3 linked regions of the Tamandua tetradactyla genome follow. The protein of the gene in region 1 purifies or fractionates together with the protein of each later gene. This does not show direct contact. Links are inferred from orthologs where the notes say so. Each region holds a gene or a part of one and is shown in the gene's direction. Other genes may lie near its edges.

Region 1 (7,973 bases):
TCCCTTTTTAGTTTATGGTGTATTAGAGTGACTAGAGGGAAGTACCTGAAACTGTACAGCTGTGTTCCAGTAGCCTTGTTTTTTGAAGATGATTGTATAATAATAAAGCTTTTACAATGTGACTGTGTGAATGTGAAAACCTTGTGTCTGATGTTTCTTTTATCTAGGGTATGGACAGATGAGTAAAAAATATGGATAAAAAGTAAATAATAGGGAGCTCAAAGGTTAAAATAAACTGAGTAGATTGAAATACTAGTGGTCAATGAGAGGGAGAGGTAAGGCATGTATGAGTTTTTTCTTTTTTCCTTTGCTTGAGAGATGCAAATGTTCAAAAAATTGATCGTGGTGATGAATACACAACTATGTGATGATATTGTGAGCTGCTGATTGCACACCATGTATAGAATGTTTGCATGTCAAACATGTTTATGTTTGTTTGTTAAGGTTTACAATGAAAATATTTTTTTTAAAAAAGGACATTATTGGGACATAAGAAAAAACTGGAATATGGAATGTAAGCTTTATGTTAAACTTCTTGAACTTGATAACTACACTTAAGGTGATCACATAAGTAAACAGCATTGTTCACAGAAAATGTACATGGAAATACTATGTGCTCAAGGCAACCTGCTCTTAAATGTTCAGAAAATAGATGGCTTGAGATAGAGATAGAAACAGAAGGCAGGAAGGGGAGGAGGAAAGGAGGGGAGGGGAAAGGGGGTAATGAGCTAAAATTGGTAGATCTGGGTATGGGGAGGGCGGGATGGTAGAGTTCACTGTAGGGAGTTTGTATTATTGTAAATATCCTGCAAATTTGAAATTATTTCAAAATTAAAAGTTAAAAATTAAAAAAAGATCATACAGCTGGGAAGTAGAATTGAACTCAAGCATCCTCATGATCCATCCACTATAGCAGATGGCCTCCTTGTCACAAAAACTGGCGGAAGTTGCCCCCTCAAAGGCCCTGGAAACTAATAAGGCCTGTCACTTTTCCTCCTGGTAAAAGCTTGAAATTCTGTACCTCCCTGGAGGCCACCATGCCTAGGCTGCTGCCTCCTTACCCACACAGCCGATGGTCACCACTCCATCCTTGTAGCGCTCCCGGGTTGGGCCAGTTGGCTCCATCGCTGAATCAGTCTGCTGCTCCACTAGGACTGCTGGCCCATCCTCCTCTTCCTCTTCCTCCCCAGAGCCATTACCCCAGGTGGCCCCAGCCACATCCCGAGCCATCTTCTCCCGCCAGCTGCTCAGGTCCACTGCTCAGGGAAGAAGAGAAAGGAGGGTCTCTCCATGGCTGCTGTACGGTGACAGATGGTATACTGCACAGCTCTGATGTAATCAGTGCCCTGTGGAGTTGTATCATGCCCAACCTGCACAACAGTGGTCCAGAGACTCTCCCCAGCTTTTACTTGATCTCAGCCCTGGAATCGTCTGCATTTCTCTGCCTGGGTTTCTGAAGAGTACACGGAAGACTGAAGGCAGCAAGCCACTGAGGTTCCTGCCTACCCGCTGCCCTACTTGTCCCACCAAATTAGTTTGCTCCCTATTTCATCCCTTCCTCTGGCCTCTCTTGAGGGTCTATAATAGAAACGTAGACTTCTAGAAAGGTGAGCAAAATGACTCTGGATCTTGGGTCTCTCCCATGGCCCTCCTCTAAGAGACACATACCTTTCCCAGCAGTGATGGCTTCACAGGCTCTCAGCAACTGCTCTGGTCCCAAGGCCCGAGTCCATCCTCTCCCCCGCTTCCGACTCTTCTTTAAGACTGAGGTCAGAAGGCACAAAAGGATTAGCACACAGGTTTCCACATTCCATCTTTCCTACCCTCGTCAACAAGTCCATTTGTTCTCCCCTCCTCCCACACCCACCCCAACTCTCCCACATTGCTTTTTTATTGCCTACTCACCACTACTAGAGTCCTGTGGGGAGTGGGGATCCCGAGGGAAAGATGTGAAAAGGACGATGTGGAGCTGGGGGTAGTGTTGGTGGAAATAATGCTTCCAGGCAACTACAAGAGCTGGCGGGGCCAGATCCACCTTGTTCAGTACCAGCACCAGGGCCAGTCCAAGTTCTCCAGTCACATACTCATAAAGTGCTGGTGGGAAATTCACAACCTGAGATGGGTTGATAAGAGGATGGAGTCATGAGAGGTGAACTGAGGATCCTCTACCTCCAGCTCAGAGACAATCTGCTACCCTGGAGGTAGCAAATTCAGGGGTAAAAATGGTAAATCAGTCAAACTGAGGAAAGCTCTAACAGGGACTAGTAACATCTGTGCATGAGTTTCTGGCAGGCTTCCTGCAGTTCATGATTAGTGACAAAGGTGACCCAAAATCAAGATAAAGAAATTGCAACACTCAGCACACTGAGGGAAAGGCCAAGACCAGGAACAAAGGATAGAGGATGGGAGTAGAAATGTTTTCATTCATTTCACTCATGCATTCAACTTGTATAAGTCTGTACATGTGCATACAGAGTGCATGTGTATGTAAACATGTGTTTGCATTTAGGGCCTGCATGTTTCCATTAAGTGTGTGTAACTGTGTGTGTAAATATGCCTATGTGTATAGATATGCACATGCACATATGCATGTATTTGTGAGGGTGTATGTAGGAATATGTGAGTACATGTTGTTAAAGATCTCAACCTAAATGTCCCCACAGACCTCCCATTCTCTGACTGGAGGACAAGAGTGAAGTGAAAAAGCCAGGATTTGCACAAGGGTAGTTGAGCACCAGATTCTATAACCTTAATCACTACTGTAGCATTCCAGGTGATACTAAGTTCCATAGTGTCTGACGTGGCAGTGCTAGAGAAATTAAGGAAGGAGAAAAGGACATCTTTGGGTGGTGTGAAGGAAGTTCCCAGCTATCTCTACAGAATCCCCTGGGACTTTCTTTTGGTTTAGCTCTCATGAGGTAGGAGACAAGAGACATAGTTCTTTGTCAAAGGGAGTGGAGAAAGATAAAGACAGATGACCTGGGGAGGAGTGGTAAATCATGACAAAAGATGAATAAAGAATTGGTCCCTGACTGCACACATCAGCAAGTGAGAGAGAAATCTGAGAAGGAAGAAGGATGCCTCTCTGTCTCCCAACTCCTGCCTCTGACCTTTACCCCACAGAACTTTGCTACCCCCACCCACCCTTATACTCAGTACTCACAGGATGTCGGATATCAGTGATGAGCAGGACAATGTCAGACATCTCTAACACCCGCCACAGCTGCCTCCATGTCTGAAAAGACAAGAGATGGTAGAAGAGAACCTGGACCCAGAGTCCTTCTTTCTCCTGACCCCAAGCCAACTTGACCATGGGTGGACTATGCCTCACTCCTGTCTCTGTGCCCGTCTTACCTCCAGATTGTGCTCAAAGTAGCTAAGTTTTTCAGAAGTGTAAGCTCCATGAATCTTCCCAAGATACTCCTGGAAGCTCCGTTCCTCCTGGCTCATTAGTTGCTCCTTGGACATCTCATAGCTCCAAGGAGGACGTCGGGGAAAGTCCAGAACTAGGAAACCAGGAAAAAGTCCAAGTAAGTATGAGGATAGCTTCAGGACTTGAAGTGCATCCCAGACCACTCCTTCATGATGGTCAGCTCTTACCCATCCAAGCTCCTTCAATATCCAAGTGTTGAGATCTTACTCACCAGAGCCAGGCTGATAGACTTCCCTGATATCCAGCTCCAGCACCTCAGCACTGACAGGCTGTAACACTTGCTCCCGGGCAGCCTTCTTTCTCCTCTCCACCTCCTCCCGGCTGTCTCGCTCAAAATGCAGCCGGTATCTAAGAGGACAGGAACCAAGGTATCCAACACTATAGATCCTGTGACTACAAATTCCAGTCTTTTCCCCTCTGGGGTGGACAACTTCTCAAAGCTGTTCCTCAAGTTGTTCGAGTTTTCTTTCTCAATTTGCCTTCCCCCTAGTCCCTCTTTCACGACATATGCAGCCTTCCCCTATGCCTCACCCTTCTGGAAATCAAACTCTCTCCGCCCTCTCTGGAAGACAGGATTGTGGCTGGCTCAGGGGAGCTCAGCGACCCTCCACCCACCTACATACCCACCCTGGGAAAATCTGTAGCATCCCTGCCCCGCCTCCTCCACTTTCAAGTCTCCACCAGCAGCAGCCCATTTCCCACCCCCAAACCTTCGGTCCAACTTCCAGGTGGGTGGGGAAGACCTGGCCAGCCCTCGGCCCACCCTCACCGATTTGGGTCATAGCCTCGTGGACCCAGCCCCTGGGAAGGCTGCTGGTTGAGCCTGCGGATATGATGGGTCACAGACTCTCCGTCTGAGGTGTCAGTCTGTTCCTCCCGCCGCTCCCGGCTCCCGCTGCGACTGTTGGAACTGGAGCGTAGCCCATCTTGAAGCCCTGCGGGGAGGGGCTGGTGACGCTGGGGCCGGCCAGCTCTCCAGGAGCTATATGAACCCCTCCCCAGGTGGCATGGCTCCCTCTCACCCCACCCCACTTCTTTCGAGGTCCGGTAGTCCGAGCCAAGCTGCTTGGGACCCTGCCGGATGTGCGTGGGGGGGAGTCACTCTAGAGAGCTGCGGGCCTGACGCCCCGTTGGTGCTGGAGGAATTCCCCTCCCCCAACTCCCCATGCTTCTCCACCCCTTCCAGTTGTAAGAGAGGGCTGAGGTGGGGGAATCCCATCCGCAGTGGCCCGCGCGTGTCGGCGCGCGCCCACCGCCCCTCCCACGCCCCCCAGAGGTGCGGCGGGCACACCCCTCCCTACAGATGTGCGGCTCCGGAGCCCCGCCCCCTCCTCCCGCTCCTGCACTGACCTCGCTTCCGCTCCCGCTTGTCCTGCAACTGCTTCTTCTTCTGCTTCACGCTGAAGGGCTTCTTCCTCGGCATGGCCCGGACCAGCCACCTGGCCCGCCCTCAGCCGAGCTCTCGCCGCCTCAACTGACACTCTTTGGGCAGCCCCCGCCGCAAGGGCCCAGGACCCTAGAGGGGGCGGGGCTACCCGGTGACGTCAGCGGGCGGGCCCCACCGACTCGCCGTGGCAGCCCGGGAGAAAAGCGCACAGGGGGAAATTCAGTCACTGCCCTCTGGGAGCGAGGCGAGAAAATGATGTGGGGTGGGCTACCTCCACAGGAGAACTAGCGGCGCTTTGACGGCGCAGGGGCGGCAAGGCTGGAGGCGCGCGTGGGAGGATCGGGCAGACTTCGTCACGGACGCTACCAACCTGCGTTCGGAGAAGGGGGGACGCGTGTCATCACTACCTTGCGCGCCGAGGAGAAGCTACCACTCACCTGGAGGAGGGGCGGAGCGGAGGACGGGAGAGGGGCAGCGTTGCGGGAGAGGGGAACGTGGACGCGCGGAAGCTACCTTACCAACTCGGGAACTTGACCTTAGTAGAAAGCCCAGACTGAGCGTCCCAGGAAAGAAACCAGGTTGCTGGGTTACGCTGGGGGCAGGGTCAGAGGTCATGTGGGGCGGGCGGCGGCCTGAAGGGTCCTTCCTGGGCGCCGCCCTGGTGAGACCCAAATTCCTTCTAAGAACGAGGATAAGGAGCAGATTTACAGATCATGAGTGCAAACGCGAGCGAGAAAGGAACCCAAATGGGACAAGGACTTTTGGGGGGAGGTCAGAGGGCATGAAGTTGTGACTGCCGCTGTTACCATAGTAACAGGGGACCGGATGTGGCGATCACAGGGTGCGACGTCTCTTTCTTCCCAGGCCTTCTGGCTCAAAAGGCTCTCCACGCTGTGACACGCCGGGAGGAGCTGGATATGTTGGCTTTTTTCCCGCGGGAGAAGAGAGGAAAAATTTTTTTAAGACTATATAGAAACGCAGCAAAGAGAATACTCTGCATTGGCGCCATGTTTAGTAAAGACGAAGGGAGGCAGTTTACGTGAGAATGGAGCTACAGTAAAGGTTCCCTGCAGCCTTCCGGAAGTGAAATGGCGGGAGCCTCATCCTCGCTGTCCACCAACCTTCCCGGAAGCGGAAACAGAATCTTAGTGTGCCCCTTTCTCACTGCCCTCCAAATCCCGCTGCAGCCATTGCCGCAGCCACGATGCCGAAGCGAAAGAAGCAGAATCAGCAGCAGCCACACCCGCCACAGACCCCACTGCCAGAGCGAGACGAGACTGGAGACGAGGAGGACGGGAGTCCTATCGGTGAGGAGCCCAGAAGGGGTGTTGCACATGTCAGTCAACGCGTCTGGGCGAGGGGCAATAGAATGACACCAGTTGGGGAGGGGGGTGGGCGTCTAACGGAAGGAGGAAGGTTGCAAGCATTGAGGTAGAGGTTCTATCCGGGATAGAACCCTGAATGAGTTCTCGTATTTGAACCTTAAACCTCAGTTCGGCCCACAAACCTTTCTAGGGAGGGCAAGGGAGGAGAGGATAAAGAATTTTTGTGCGCAGCCGCAATACAAGGAGTGAGAGGGGTTGTACAGAGGTTGCAAATTTAGATGAATGGGAAAATAATTTGTGAACACACTTTCACAATTGGAAGTGAAAGTTTGGCCTTCTCTGAAGGGGTGGGGGGGTGCATGGGCGGGGAGGAGAAGACAACCACCTGATTGGCCAACAGTTTAAGGCGAGTGACTGGATTACCTCTGGAAGAATTGGTGATGTTTTGGATAGCAACATTATAAGGGAAAGACATCCCCCAGAGATGCCTCTACGTTTTGCAAATCCTGAACAAGCATTGCAGTGGCAGATAGATAAGATGAGAACTCTGCAACACTGCTGAGAATGTACCTAGTTTTAACAGTTGGAGTAGGAAATGTGTACTGAAGAGAAACATAGAAGAACAGGATCATCAGTCCTTTATTTAGTCCATTCTGATGACCATATTTTCATGTCTACTCTCAGGACCACCTAGCCTTCTGGGCACTCCCCCCATGGCCAATGGAAAGCCTGGTGACCCCAAGTCAGGTGAGAAGGAAGGGGATCTAATTCTGGATTAAACCCTGGAGAAAAGGGAGGGAGTAAAACCGGGAGTGAGAGTGGGGACTTAAAATAAAAAGATCAAGGCTTCCATACCTAAATAAATGGAGAAGTTTTGTATATTCATAGAGTAGAAAAGTGATCATTGTAAAAATGTCGGTTCTTTCCAAATAGATTTATAGATTCAGTGCCTTCCTAGTCAGAATTCTTAGATTTTTTTTTGTGGAAATAAACATTCTTTATTTTTGTATGGCAATGCAAAGAGTCAGAGTGAGAAACTGCCAAGACAATCTTGAAGAATAGTGGGAGGGCTTACACTGAATGTCAAGATTTATTGTCAAGATTATTTATGCCACTGTGACATTAGCACATTGACAGGCATATAAGTCAAAAGAACAGCATAGAGAATCCAGTAATAGGTCTGCACATATGAACTTAATTTATGCAGGGGACACTGAAATGCAGTCTTTTCAGTAAATGATGCTGAATCAATTGGTTGTTTATGTGAGGTAGAAATGAAAACTTGACCTCCTATCATACCATACACAAAAATCAATTCCATGTGGATTGCAGAGCAAAGTGTGAAAAATAAAATAATACTTCTAGAAGACAGACTCATATTAATTATCAAAATAAGACTGATCAATTGAATTACATTAAAAGATGTAGGCTTCTGTTCATTAAATGACACTATTAAGAATTTAAAAGGGGACCATAGAGGAGAGAAGATATTTGTAACTTATATAACCGTAAAGAGAATATATGTTGAATATATAAAGAATTCTTCCAGATAACTAGTTAGGGAAAGGGCAAAAAATCAGAATAATCATCTTCTAAAAGAGGAGATCTAAATGCCCAATAAACATGTGAGCAAGTTCTTAACATCATAAGTCATTAGATTAATGCAAGTTAAAGACACACCACTTTTCATACTTACCAGAACGGCTACAATGAGAAAAGACTGACAATACCAAGTGTTGTCTAGGATACAGAACGATTGCTGGTGGGAGTGTAAATTAGTGCAACCACTTTGAGATAAAAAAATGTTTGACATCTGTTAAACTTGAGC
Region 2 (7,991 bases), on another chromosome or scaffold:
AGAAATGCTACAATTACAAAAACCACAATTTTGTAAACCCTATTGAAATAAGAGATTGAAGTGACAGACATGAATGAGTGAAAACTAGCCTATGAATTGTTGATGGAGAATTGTAAAAATAAATCACACTGATAATACCTGAACATCCAATCAATCTTAATTAACATCACTAAAAGTGAGACTACCAGACATTAGGTACTTCTTGATTTGATGTGCATCACCTCACCTATATATATTTAGCACCAACTATAAAGTATTCTTTGCCCCCAAAAAGTGAACCTGTAGCTAATCAAGCCTCTAGAGGTTGCAATCAACAATGGAGGAAATTCTGTAGGATGAGTGACTTGGTTTGTTTAATAAATAAATATCAAGTTAAAGTGGGTTGGAGAACATTTATATATTTGAAAAAGGTATGAGATATATTAATCTAATTCAAAGTGCAGACATTGTTTCATCCTTACTCAGAGAAATCAATTCAAAAAGCTAATTTTGAAACAATCAGAGAAAAATGAAGAAAACTGGATACTGGCTGAGGTTAAATTATTGTTGGTTTTGTTAGATGTGATAATGGTATTGTGGTTATGCTTTTTTTTAAAGTTCTTATTTGTTAGAGACACATAGCTACAGGTAAAATGATATTATGTTTGTGATTTGCCTTAAAATACTCCAGGAAAAAAAAAGTGAGTGTGTGTGTGAAACAAGAATGACAAAATGATGATAAATGTTGAAGTTGGGTGTTAGGAACAGAGGGGTGATAATTCTATTTCTCTGCTGTTGTGTTTGAAAATTATCAAAACAAGCTGAAAAAGCTGATTTTGTTTAAAAATGTTTTTACTGTAAAATAAACATAAGAAAGGGTCTAGAACCACTTAAAATATTGAAATACATTCTTGTGTATTAAAATCCAGAGCAAAACATAGGATATTATCATTTTCAGAAATCTCTTGGAATCCCTCCCTGATCAACTCATCCTTCTGCTTCCTCAGAAATAACTGCTATTTGGACTTTTGTTATTATTTGTCTATTTTCCTTTATCACTTTTGCTACTCACATACCTATTTTTACACAAAATACTGTTTAGTTATTTTTTTCAGTATTTGAACATAATATGAATTGAATCATGCTTTATATATTCTGTTGAATTTTTTTTGTTTTCAACATCAGTTTGGAAATAATCCATGTTCATACTCTGAACTATAGTTTATTCATTTTCACTCCTGCACTGTGTTCCATTGCATATATATATATATACACATACATATACATATATATATAAATTTTATTCATTCAAGTGTTGATAGACATTCATTTTAAGTGTATTATAAACAATGTTGTTATAAGCATTCCTGTACATTTCTCTTAGTGCACATACATAAGGGTTTCTATAAAGTGTATACCTACAAGTAGAAATACTGAGTCATAGGGTACATGCTGTTCTAGTTTGCTAGCTGCCAGAATGCAATACACCAGAAACAGAATGGTTTTTAAAAAGAGGAATTTAATAAATTGCTAGTTTACAGTTCTAAGACCGAGAAAATGTTCCAATTAAAACAAGTCTATAGAAATGCCCAATCTAAGGCATACAGGGACAGACACCTTGGTTCAAGAAGGCCAGTGAAGTTCAGGGTTTCTCTCTCAAGTGAGAAGGCACATGATGAACACAGTGAGGGTTTCTCCCTCCACTGGAAGGGCACATGGTGAGCACGGTGTCATCTGCTAGCTTTCTCTCCTGGCTTTCCTTTTCATGAAACTCCCCGGGAGGCATTTTCCTTCTTCATCTCCAAAGCACTGGCTAGTGGCCTCTCTGCTTTGTGGTGCTGCAGCATTCTCTGCTCTCTCTGAATCTCTTTCATCCTCCAGAATGTTTCCTCTTTTATAGGACTTCAGAAACTAATCAAGACCCACCCAAATGGGTGGACATGCCTCTACCTAATCTAGCTTAACAACCACTCTTGATTAAATCACATCATCAGGGAAATGATCTAATTACAGTTTCAAACATACAATACTGAATAGGGATTAGAAGAAACGGTTGCCTTTACAAAATGGGATTAGGATTAAAACATGGTTTTTCTACAGCCCATACATCATTTCAAACCAGCACACATGTAAACACAACTGAGTTTTGCACAAGCAAACACAACTAGGTAATGCACATGCAAACTCAACTGGGTAAAGACAAACTGTTTTCTTAAGTAGTGACTGTACCAATTTACTCTTCCTCCAGTAAGCAGAGTTTTCAATATTCCTCCCTCTTCCATAGTCTCACCTACTCTTAATATTTTTGGAGTTCTTATTTTCTGCCAATCAGGTGAGTGTGAAATGGTATCTTATTATTATTTTAATTTGCATTTCTCCTATTATTCATGAGTCTGAGCATCTTTTCATATGTGTTCAGGGCATTTGTGCTTCTTCCTCTATGTAACACCTACTCATTTCTTCTGATCAGTTTCTAACAGGTTGTTTCTCTTTTCCTTAATGATGCCAAGGTCTTTTTTATATAGTCTCTATATTAATCCATTTCAAAGTTATATGTATTATAAATAACTATTTGTAGCATGCTTTTTTAGTGTCTGTACAGAATCCCTCAATGAATGAACATTCTTAATTTTAATGTAGTCAAATTTATCATTCTTGTACTTTGGGTCATCTTTATTAAACAAATATTTCCCTATCTCTAGGACATAAAGATACTCCCCTATATTCTCTTCTAAAAGCTTTATAGGTTTGTTTTTCACATCTAGGTCTTTAATTTTTGTGAAATTTGTTTGTTTCTTTCCTTTTGGTACGATGTGCAGCAGTGCTCTAAATTGGGTGTTGTTTTTTATTTTTTTTTCCATATAGATAGCCAATTGACCCCATATCCTTTATTTCGCAGGTCATTCTTTCTCCACTGCTCTGTACTACAAATTCAGTCACAAATTAAATGTCTGCATATGTGTAGGTCTTACTATGTGATTTCTAAAACAGTCTGAATTTTCATCTTCCAGAAAAAACAGTAGGTAAAACAAACTATGTTTATAATTTCCCTTATCACCTAAAATCTAGAAGTTCTGAGATAGTTTTCAACTTATTTCTCTTCCCTTTGTCCTCTAAATCATATTCCAAGTCCTCCCAGACTCCTAAAACACAAGTTAATTCATGTCAGATCTCTACTTAGTTTCCATATAGGTAACTGAATCTACTGTCTGTCTATCTATCTATATGTCTGTCTGTCTATCTGGCATGATTTGCTTCCTGGCACATCCAACATGTTCTCATATAAACTTATTTTGTTTTGTCAAACATGAATGACTTAGATATTTGTCGAAATCATTTAAAGACAGTATGGGTTTTGGTTCACTGTTTCATTGTTTTAAAATATCTTACTAAACCTTTTTATTTAATGTAATCATATAAAAACCATAACTGTTTAACAAAATAATGCATTTAATTTCAGTTTAATTTACCTTGTTGCAAGAAAACTGCCTCTCAGAAAACCCCATGACAAAACAAAATAATCAAGTTCTATTTAACAACAAGTTAATTTCCATTACATTTTATTAGTTGGGCAAGAACCCCAGTTTGGGGGTGCTTTCTTTCATATTCTATCTGTACATTTCGGTATAATCTCTCCTTTTGAGCTAGAATATAAAAGTCTTCTGCAGGGAGCTTCAGGGACCAATTAATTCCATTAAATTATATCCAGTTATGTAGTGAACTGAAACACTGCTCATCTGGGGCTGTCTAGAGCTGCAACAATTAGGAGATGGAAGGAGGCAAAAAGAGAGAGATTGATTTTATATGTCACTGAAGCACACTGAAACAATATGCCAGCATGACTTTCAAAATGGCCTTAAAATATTCCAAACTCAGGGAGTTTCCTTTCTCCTGAGTGGGAGTTGACAGACTGTCTGGCAGTATTAGAAAGAGACAGAGAAAAGCTGATGTCTACATTGTGTCCTCTAATAATAACATTCTGCCTCTTTGCTGCATCTCCCCCTAGAAGGATCCATCTATTTGTTGGGACTGTGTGTGTGTGTGTGTGTGTGTGTGTGTGTGTGTGTGTGTGTGTGTGTGTGTGTGTGTGTGTCTGAGCTTTGCCTCCCCTTGTCTAGGGACATGATTTCACCTCTCACATCTGTGATAAACAAACGGAAGAAAGGACACTAACCCTCCCAAGGTCACCTAGAAAATTGGTGTTGGGGCCTGAGGGTGAGATTGGGTAGGGAGGGGGACGGAACCCAGGTGCTCTGACTACAGCTTTGTGGTTGTGCACTAAATCATTTTCTCTCCCTTGCGAAAAAAATTCATTGGGCGGGGAAGTGAGAGATTAATCAGATTTCCTCCTCTTTCCGTTTGCGGACAAAAAAACTCACGAAAGCAGAAGAGGTGTCCACTCCGCAGTTCTTAAGCTGGGTCCCAAAAAAGCACACGCTCCCCACCCCCTCCGCCCCAACCACGACCCCCCCACCCCACCCCACCCCCACCCTCACCCTCGGACACAAAGCGATCTCGGCTCCCAGGGTTTCCGCCGGTCCAACCGCGAGCCCGGGAGGTGAGGAGTGGTGAAAACTCAGCCCTCACCTCCAGCCGGTCCCGGGCTCGGCGGCGCCCAAGCCCCGCCCCCCGCCCGCCCTTCCCCCACGGCATCGGCTCGCCAACCCCTCTCCCCTTCTCCCCATCGGGCGCACCCATCCCAGATGCCGCCTGGCACCGAGCGCAGCCGCCGCCGCAGCAGCACTTTCCGCTTGTATTGATCACCTCCCAGCCCCGCTCAGCCGGCCTGCCCCAGCTGAGCGCGGCCAGCGCGCCGGCCCTTAGCAGCCCGGGGGCAGTCAGGCTCCGTGAGGAAACTCCTAGGGAGCGCGCTGTCCGGGGTGCCCTCTGCATTCTGCAGTGTCTTTCTCTCTGCCTGGAAGGAGGAGGAGGAGGAGGGGGAGGAGGAAGAGGAGGAGGAGGAGGAGGAGGAGGAGGACGTCTGGTCCGGGTTGGGAGGTGGAGCAGCGGCAGCAGCAGAAGGCGCCGCCGCCGAGGCCGCCGCCGCCGCCGCCGGAAAGGGAGAGGCAGGAGAGATCGAGACTTGGAAACCCCAAAGTGTCCGCGACCCTGCACGGCAGGCTCCCTTCCAGCTTCATGGGCAAAGTGTGGAAACAGCAGATGTACCCTCAGTACGCCACCTACTACTACCCCCAGTATCTTCAAGCGAAGGTAATGGGGCGCTGGGGGTGGGGAGAGCCCGACGAGGGGGGCTCCGGGTGCACGCGCGGCGAGCCCATGAGCCGCGGCCGGGCGCCCGGCGCGCTGCGCTGCTGCAGCAGCCCGCGGAGTCGATGGAAGGTTGCTAACTATAGCTCTGGCCTGGGCTGCGCTCAGCGCGGCGGCTTCTCGGGGAGCAGAGTGCGGGGATCGGGTTACAGAAAGCCGCGGGGGAGAGACTAGACAGGAAAGAGCCGCCAGCCCCTTCCTGGCCCGAAGCAGAGGAGGGTCGCGGAGCTGAGCGACGCCCCTCGCCGATCGCTGGCTGGTTGGTCGCCGACGCCTGGCGCCCCTCGGCAGGATCCGCTGGCGGCGCGGCTTTTCGACCCCTTCTCCCGGGCCTCGCCCAGCGAGCAGGAACTCCTCTGGTTCCCGGCCCCGCCGGGGACGCCCCTGAACCTCTCTCGCGCGCAGTGACTAGAGCTTGAGAGGGGACTGGACGTTTTCCTCCCCGCCCCTGGCCCTGCGCGTCCGCCCCTCGCCTCTGATCTTTGTGCGGTGTTGGCACTTTACCTGGTTACTGATTTCTACTTTTACGCTGGTGTTTTGGGCAGAAAAGTGGACAAAGTTCATTCAGCGTTCATTGATGTCCCTTTAATCTTCCCTGTAGCTTTTGCAAAGGAGGGACAATGGACAGGTTTCAGTGCAAAGAAAAGTGACTTTGTATTTACTTAAAAAAAAAAAAAACCACAACGCATCTTATATATTTACCACAGATCGATTTCCAATGGCCTTGGCACACTCATGGGTAACATGGCTGATGACATGTAGCCGTACAAATTGCTGTTGCCTTCTAGGGACCCTGGGTACTTTGTTAAAGGGTTTATCTTATTTTTAAAAGAAGAATTTGATGTCCCCTGAACTTAAAAAAAAAGTGTGGGTTTTTCACTACTTTGGAAGCTTCTCGACACTTTCGGAGAGCAGAACTTGGTCGCACCAGCCTTCTTCAGCAGTTAGCATCTCCTTCCACACCAGGGTGCCCTTCTAGATCACAAAAGAATCAGGTATGGATGCGGTGTGTGAACTTTATTTGAGAAGTTAATCATGCCTTGCTTGCTGGCACAAAGCATTTCTAGCCTGGTAAAAGACTCTCTGATTCAACCTTGATAAGCTTTTCTTCTCTACAATGTGTGTGGTCCATGCTGTCGTGTACCTACAACATAACTCTGTATTTATCTTGTCAGCATCCAGGTCAGAAATTTCTAGCACTCAAAGGCCTCATTTTCACACACATCTCCGTTCCCAATTTACTTTGGGAGGCCCCAAAGCAGCAAGGTGGTAACAGCAAATATTACTCATTTCTGTGTATTTCTCACTTATTTGTTTTCAGGGAATTGAGAAAAGTGCTAGTTTCTGTGGGCTACATTGTAAATTTAGTTGTTTGAAAAAATTTTGGGGAGTAATCAATGTGCTACCTTTTAGGTGCCGTTTATGTTTAATGCTACTGTTTAAATTATTCAGCACTGCGTACCTAAAGACCGGCCCACTCAACATTTTAACTATATGAATAATAAATACATACACTCAGGTGAAGAAAAGAAAACCATGTTTCTACAGGCACATTTACCTTAGTAATTTTTTATGTACCATTAGTAATTTAGAAACCAACTACATAACATTTAATATAGCTAATGCAATGCCACTTGGCCTTTTTTTTGCTCCATAAATAATTGAAGAGAGAGACAAACAGCAAGAGCCTACTCTAGTAATTAGGGTTGGATCCCAGAAAGCTTTAGGGTCCATTTTCTGAAAGAGTGCTTCCTGCATAAAGTATTTAATATTGATTGTGTTACAGTAAATGGCATTCTCAAAACATATCCTGCTGTTCGACTATGAAAATCTGAAATCCCATTACTCTGAATCTCTTTGTTTCCTGAGAAGGGTATACCTACTCACTTGACCTACATAACGGGGTGTTAAAGTTTGATAATTGAATCTGAATTCCCTCTTCTAGAAATTATCTTGATTCTGTCTCAGAGAGGGGCATCTCCTAAAAATTTAAAGTGACTAGATGCAGGTTTTAGGTACACAGTTTGGACCACCTAATCCATTTTTTCCTCCCTTACATATCTGTTGGTAACAGAGTAGTAGCGTATGTAATTTAAAAAGTAAAGACTTAGTTTGATTTATAATGAGTTTAAAAACAGATGTTACCTAATCTACCCAAAGAGTTAATAAACTGTCTTAGAATCTGTTGTCTACAGCAATCATCCATGCCTGTGTGTGCGTGTGTGTGTGTGTGTGTATGCGCACACAGGCACCTGCGCGCATGTTTTAACCTTCTTTAAATATGGGATGGAAAACATCACTCTGTTTAAAGTACAGTGGTGTGTTTGCAAGTCAGAGTTGTTTTGAAACTTCTGTTTGGAAACTGTATTAAAAACTGAGCAATGGCATGGTAGTTTAAAAAATGATGTTTAACTTAAACTTGTAATCAGGAGAGATGATGTGATTGTTTTGAAGTGACAAGGATTAAATGGATGTGGTTTCTTTTAGTTAGAAGGAATAGACGATACCAATTAAGATGGCACTTGGAAATGAGTTTTGCTACTATACTTTAAAAAACTTCTTTTCGAATCATTCTTCTTGTGTTAATGATCCAATCAGAGTCTGTTTTGACAAATTTACTAGCTAATTTTTCTTCTAACAACATAGATACTTCCACATTTTATTAAGAAACAATAACATTCAAGGGCTGTGTTAGAGCATGTGACTTAGTGTGCTTTGACAGAAAGGGAAAATCATTAGAAAAA
Region 3 (6,933 bases), on another chromosome or scaffold:
TGGCTGAGGGCCATGCACATGTGCATTTCTAGTACTGCTGTGAGGTATGGCTCTCAGAGCTGAAAGACGTGATTGGGGGTCCGTGCACATGCGTGGGCCTAGGAGTACCATAGACTGATGTGCGGAGCTCAGGCTGGGATGGGTGAGGCTGTGCTGTATACTATGGGCATGGGGTCAGGAGGGCAGGGGTAGCCTGTGTATGGAGGTTATGGCAATAGCCTGCAGGGAACAGGGAGGGGGAGCTAGTGCTCAGAAGGCTGCACTTGGGGTGGGGGTGTAGTGCAGTTACGTGCACTGGGGGTTCATGGGGTGGGGGTGCCTGGAGTGCAGGGAATGGGAGCGGGTGATGGGGTTTGGGTGCGTGAGGTGTAAGGTGAGTTGCCAGTCATGGGGCTGCGCTAGTGAGGGCAGTGTGCCCAAGGAATGCAGTCTGGCTTACTTCCTATTCCCCAGCTCCTGTCTGGGCACTCCTGTGGACTCCGCACCTTTGCGCCAGGCTCTAGCTTTCTGCCCCTCAGTTCCTCAGCCTCTATAATTTTTTTTATTCTAAGAATATACAAATGGAGTCACACAGTTTGCAATATTTTGATATTGGCTTTTTCAGTCAGCATAATTTCCTTGAGAGGTATTCAAATTGTTGCATGTATCAGTAGCTTGTTCTTCTTATTGCTGAGTAGCAGGCCGTGGTATGGATGTACATTTGTTTATTAACCCATTCACCCATTGAAGGACATTTGAGTTGTTTCCATTTTTTAGCTATTACAAATAAACTGCTATGAATATTTACATAGCAAATGCCCAAGGGCGCAGAGTGCTATTACTGGATTTTTTTACAGTTTTGTAAAAAAACCCTGCCATACTCTTTTCCAGAATGGCTATACTATTTTACATTCCCACTAGCAATGTATGGGTGACCCAGTTCATTCATAAATGCCAGCATTTGGCATTATCACTATTTTTTATTTTAGTCAAAATGAGACAGTACACAGAACTATCTCATTTTGGTTTTACTTTGCTCTTCCCTAATGGCTAATGATGTGAAAATCTTTTCACATGCTTATTTGCCATCCCTTATTACTTGCTATGAGAACTCCCCTAGGTGACCAACTGCTTCAGAAAAGACCACACTTCCTATGGTAATTCTCTTTCTCTTTGAGAGTGATTGGTTGAGAGTTAGGCATGTTCTGGCTAAGAGACATGAGAAATGTTTACTGCAGGACTTCTGGAAAAAGTTTTCACTCTCTTAAAAAGAAACACCTGAAGGGAATGCATTTTTTTTTTTTTTTTTTTTGTAGTTGTGCTCACACAACTTGGTGCTGTGTGATGATGGGATTTCTTGGGGCTCCTGATAAAAGTGTGTATGGTGGACACTCTAAGAATGGGAGAGCAGTAAACTGGAAAGATCTTAGTTCATTGAGGGCATTGTTGTACTGGAACAACCCTACGTTAGGCTTCTTATTATATGAGATGATGAACAGCTTTATTTTGGGGCCAATTTTGCTTGGCTTTTCTGTAGCCTGAAGCCAAAAACATCCTAACTAGTATTGCATGCTAAGGGTTAAGCCAGGAATTTTAATAAGGATTTCATCTACATAAAGGTAATTTAATCTAATTTAAACTGCATAATAATCCTGGGATGCAGGTGTTTTTATCCTACACATTTTACTAGTGGGGAAACTGAATTCAAGTCTTAGGTCTGTTTGATGCTAAAGATAGCTTGAAATAATTTATAAATATTCTGTGCTTTCCCTATCTTCAATTTTTCTCTGAAACACATGTAAAAAGTAGAATTGTAGTGTATCACTCTAAGCACCCAGAAAGTTCCAACGGCATTTCAAAATATTAGAGAATGTAGAATATGATCAAGATTGTATTTTATGGCTATGCAACTTCAAGAAGTCATTATTCTCTTTCATTTCAATTAACATGTCATGGCACTAGGGATACAAACATTTAGACATTTATCCAAAGAGCAAGGTAAGAAGGCAGGAAATATTATTCTGTGAGTGCTAGGTACTTAACATCTATTATGTTATATTCACATATATATATATCCATGAAGTGAGTGTTAAATATACTCATTAATAGAGGAGAAAATGGAATCTCTGAGGGTATAAGTAAGTAGCTTAAGCCACAAAGGTAAGAAATTGATGGGGCCAATAAATGGTGGAACTCAGATGTGGTGGAGTGAGAATTGAAAGAAATATGTGGCTGACACTGTGCAAAATGTTTTCCGTTTAATCACAATATATTTGGTGCATACAAATATCATTTTCCTTCTATGTTTTGTCCTGGAATGAAGCTGGGCTTCATGATCAGCTGGGGCTAGTTTACATCCCTACGCCAGTAATTACCAACAGGGTGGCTTTAAATAATATGTTTAACCTCATTTAGCCTCAGCTTCCTCATTTGTATCACAGGGTAATATAACAACTTCATATGCTTTTGTTAGGATTAGGGAAAATAAAGACAATGCCCCTGGGAATTTAATAAATGGCAGGTATTATTTTCGCACAGTTGAAGAAATTTGGATACACAGAGATCAAGCTTGTAATAAACGTTCATAGAATTCATTGGTGACCACACCAGGACCTATTTCTGCTTGTCCAGAATTCTTTGTAGTAGTGGTAGCCAATCAGAGATTAGGACCTCAAAGATTATGATGAAAGCTTTCTGGAGGCAGATTCTTAATCTTAATTCCAGATAATAAAATATGGCCTACAAATAAATATTTTTTTTGCAGGCGTATGAGGTTCTAGTTGCTGATGATACAATGACAAGATAAATTAAGGAGCTTATATTCTAGTGGGAAGAGAAAAAAAATATTGAAACTGGTAAGCGATAACAGGTTAATATGAGACAGCCTGTCTAGGCAAGGACTAGGATCCCACTTTAGATTATAAGAAACGGACATCTAGGTAAAGTTCTGGGATGAAGATTTTCCTTTGCAGGAGGAAAGTATGCAAGTAGAAAGATCCCTTGATGGTAGTGGGCTTGGTGTGGTTAACGAACAGAAAGAAATTTTGCATCTGAGCATTGTAAGTGACAATAAAAGTGGAAAGGAATGTGCTCATGGAGGTAGGCTAGCGCCAGTTTAGGTATAGTCTTGAAGTAAGGAGCTCAGTGTTTGTTCTTGTAGCGCTAGGGAGCCACTGGACAACTTTATGTGAGATGTGTGGTCCTACAGATTGTTTATCTTTAAGAGAAAACTCTGGTTGCTCTGTGATGAATGGATCACAGAATACCAGAGTGGAAGCAGTTTAGGGTGGCTAGGATTAGGTTTATGTTAGTGGGATTGCATATAAGCAAATGGAAGGACTCATAAACTTTCCCGATTACACAAACTAAAGGGTCGCACCTCTTCATTCCATCGCATCATATAGCATTTATCACTATCATTTAATGATTTCCTTGTTTATTGTCTGTCACCCCTGTTTAGGTTTGCCAGATGAAATGCAGATGCCCAGTTGAATTTGAATTTCAGATACACAACAAATAAATTTTTAGTGTATGTATGTGCCAAATATTGCATGGGAAATACACAAAAAATGTATTCCTTTTTTTTTTTGTATTCCTTGTTTATATGAGATTCAAATCAACTGGCCATCCTGTATTGTTATGGGCTAAATTTGGTAGCCCTACGCCCACCATAATATGAATTCTCTGAGGGCAAGGATTTTGTCTGTCTTGTTTCCCAAAGTATATCTAAGGCCTAGCAAAGTGCTGGGCACATAGGAGCGCATGCGTGGTTACTGAAAGAATGAAGGATTAAACAAAATAAGTTAATTAAAAAATGAACGAGAGCCCACGAAAGGGGAGAACGGTCAGCATTAGCTTGGTGTGACAAGGCCGAGAGGAAAGGGGCAGGCGACACGCTGAGGTCACGTGCGCCGGCGGTCCTGGTGACGTCATCACGCCCGCGCTCCGGGTCTAGCCGGTGCTTCAGCTGCGTCGGTACTTCCTCAGCTGTGCAGACCCGCGGCTTTGTCGTTCACCCAGACCGCCACAGGCTGTCTGCGAAGCCGTCCGGCCGGGCGTTGACCCCGGAGCCCCACTGTCCCTGTCGGCCGCCAGCAAGCAGGCCAGAGCCGCTTCTTCGCGGGGAGAAAATCTCCTCAGGACCATGTCTAGGCCGAGCAGCGTCTCCCCGCGGCCCCCGGCTCCCGGTGGCGGCGGCGGCGGCGGCGGCGGAGTGGGTGGCCCCTCGCAGTGTGGGCCTGGGGGCGGCGGCCGGGCCAAGGGGCTGAAAGACATTCGAATCGATGAGGAGGTGAAGATCGCAGTCAATATCGCCCTGGAGCGCTTCCGATACGGGGACCAGAGAGGTGAGGTTCCTGACAGGCACCCTGCTGGCTGGCGTCCCCCCACAAGTCCGAACCTACGGAGAGAGCCGGCTGCTCCCGTCCGGCCTCAGAGGAGGGAGGATGAGTCTGGGCCGCGCAGCCGAATCCACCCGAGTGAGCCGGTGACCTCCCAGCTCCAGCTAGGTCGGGGGCCTGGACCGCGGTTGTTAGCCCTCTTGTGGGATGTGAAGAACCGCACCATGTCCTGCGGATCAGGGTACCTGCCTGGCAGGAGAAGATGGAAAGATCAGGTTGCTACCCATCCTGGAGGCATTTCTTTCCTCAGGAAGAGGCCCTTCGGAGGCCTCGGGCGGTTAAGCCGCCGTTTTTAGGTATTGGTAACCCCCCCCATCTTCTTTTCTTTTTAAACAAAAGGGAGTTATAGCCTTAAGTGAGGCTCTTTTAGAACAAAAGGAATCCAGGTATAAATAAATGATCTGGCAATGTGTAGAGCTTTGTTCAAATCTTAGAAACATTTCGCTAAACACAACTAACTTGCTGCGGCATACAAAGCGTCTTCCACGGTTCTTAGAATTAGAGAGCTACTTGACTTGGGTCACATAATACACAATCAGCAGCCGACCTGAGGTGATCTGTACAATCGTACACTGAGTGCCCCTTCATCTGCTGGTTTAAACAGGGGACTCCTTACTCTGGAGGCGCACTGTCCAAACAAAGTGGACAGAATGATTTTGAATTTACTTTAAAGAAGGATGAAAGTCTCAGCAATATATAACAACAAAATAGTCGGTCTAAAATAGTGAAATATGAGTCCTATAATTTCAAAAGCAAAGAAAATGGAGTTTGATGTTGAACGTTTACAATGCTTAAACTTACATCATCATTGAGGGAAATGAACATTTTGTTAATTAAGCAAGAGCTTATTTAAAATGGTGAAATATGCCCATCAGTCGTTATATTAAGTCAAGGTTCCAGCACAGCTAAGAGGAGTAATCTGTGATGAACACCAGAGTCTTTTATCGCATTTAGATTTAATATGTGGAAGCCTTTTTATTAATATCCGAGTTCTAGTAGCCATTCAGTAGTTACTGAATTAATATCTACCCATCCATGAATTGTGTAAGAATAAATGTGATTGTATGCTTTTATGGTTTTTTTCCTCATATTTTACATGTGTGTAAGTATTGAAGTGCATTGAAAGAAAATTAACTATTCAGAAATGGTATTGGCTAATTTGTGTGTTTTTTTTTTTTCTTGTAGAAATGGAATTTCCTTCTTCTTTGACCAGTACTGAAAGAGCTTTTATTCATCGACTGAGTCAGTCTCTTGGTTTGGTCTCTAAAAGTAAAGGGTAAGCGAAAATAACAAAGAAATATATCTAAATGCATTTAAATAGTTATTGTTTTAGATTCACAGTCTTAATTATATTGTATGTAGATAAACTGATTTAGGTCTGTACCTAGTTCAGCTCTCTCTTCCTCCTATCCCCTTCTCTAACTCTTTTTTGCTAAGGGCAATAATAATACTAATAACAAAAATAAGGCAAAATTTTGAATTTAAGCAAAAATAGTTTAGAAATTAAGTTGCTTGCTTGAGAAAAGTATTTTCCTTTTTGATAGACACTAAATATCTCCTTTTTAAATAATGGTTGGACAGAAAACTACAATTATTTACAGAACTTAACTCTTTTAATGTTACTGAATGTAATGTAAGCTTTAGAACACATTTATTGTTTTCTTTTCTACTAAGTCAAGAGTCTGATGATTAGAAATAAAGTACTATGGAAGTAAACAATATATATATTTATATATTTTGGTGTCACTGCTCCATGTGGGAAAAAAGTCAGTTGAGCCATCCAAATGTAAGAACTCTTAATATTCTGTGCAGTTATTTCATTTTGGGAATAGGGATGATTGATGGGCTTGATACTTTCTCAGTTTTGCACAATTGATATTTTGGGCTGTGTAATTCTTTGTTGTTTGGGTTTTCCTGTGCATTGTAGGATTTTTAGCAGCACATCTGCTTCTACCCAGAAGATGACAGTAACACCCCCATTCCCAGTTGTGGCAACCTAAAATGCCTCCAGACGTTTCCAAATGTCCCCTTGAGGGCAAAATCGTCCCAGTTTAGAACCACTGATATGAAGAAAATTTTAGCTTATTTGTTTTTAGGTTAAGAAAAGGGAAAATAAAACTTTGAGTAAATATATTATTAATTTTATATGTGTACACACATGTGGACACATGGATACATACAGATATAACTTACGTAGGAATGAGTAGAAAGCTCCTAGAATGAAAGGAGCTAATGTAGGAATGAATACCTTGTATGTAATGCTCACAACAGTGATACGTTACTGAGGCATGGAATTTAGCTTAGGTGAATGTGTGTTTTGAGCATACTAGAGCTAGTACTGGAATGTTAGTAGGTGCTGAGCTTACCTATATTACAGTAGGTATAGTATACCTGTACCTATTGTATATCTGTATTATTCTCACTATGTAGGTGAAATATTGCACTTGAAAACACAAATACAGCACATAGCCACAATCCTTTAACTAAACACCTGGGCCATATATGTTTTGAGATTCAGATTTTAGGAAGATATGGCACAATTTGTCATATATTA

The links. Proteins that work in one complex are often made in the same cells at the same time.
Region 2: the proteins of PRR3 (region 1) and RBMS1 purify together in Homo sapiens (co-immunoprecipitation; 3 studies listed by BioGRID and IntAct, with this or other methods). This does not show direct contact. The link is inferred for Tamandua tetradactyla from reciprocal best matches to the Homo sapiens genes PRR3 and RBMS1.
Region 3: the proteins of PRR3 (region 1) and YTHDC2 purify together in Homo sapiens (co-immunoprecipitation; 3 studies listed by BioGRID and IntAct, with this or other methods). This does not show direct contact. The link is inferred for Tamandua tetradactyla from reciprocal best matches to the Homo sapiens genes PRR3 and YTHDC2.

The regions. Positions count from the first base shown.
Region 1 is NC_135331.1:85,445,619-85,453,591, forward strand, and holds the start of PRR3 (proline-rich protein 3), read left to right. Parts: upstream 1-4,955; 5' UTR 4,956-5,398; exon of another isoform or gene 5,399-5,684; 5' UTR 5,685-6,024; coding exon 6,025-6,127; intron 6,128-6,829; coding exon 6,830-6,892; intron 6,893-7,973. Other genes in the region: GNL1 (guanine nucleotide-binding protein-like 1), read right to left, coding at 1,062-1,259, 1,669-1,764, 1,906-2,113, 3,164-3,235, 3,355-3,506, 3,645-3,781, 4,203-4,368, 4,784-4,856.
Region 2 is NC_135329.1:131,233,692-131,241,682, reverse strand, and holds the start of RBMS1 (RNA-binding motif, single-stranded-interacting protein 1), read left to right. Parts: upstream 1-4,975; 5' UTR 4,976-5,115; coding exon 5,116-5,190; intron 5,191-7,991.
Region 3 is NC_135347.1:16,088,677-16,095,609, reverse strand, and holds the start of YTHDC2 (3'-5' RNA helicase YTHDC2), read left to right. Parts: upstream 1-3,917; 5' UTR 3,918-4,123; coding exon 4,124-4,325; intron 4,326-4,655; exon of another isoform or gene 4,656-4,675; intron 4,676-5,564; coding exon 5,565-5,655; intron 5,656-6,933. UniProt on the Homo sapiens protein: 3'-5' RNA helicase that plays a key role in the male and female germline by promoting transition from mitotic to meiotic divisions in stem cells.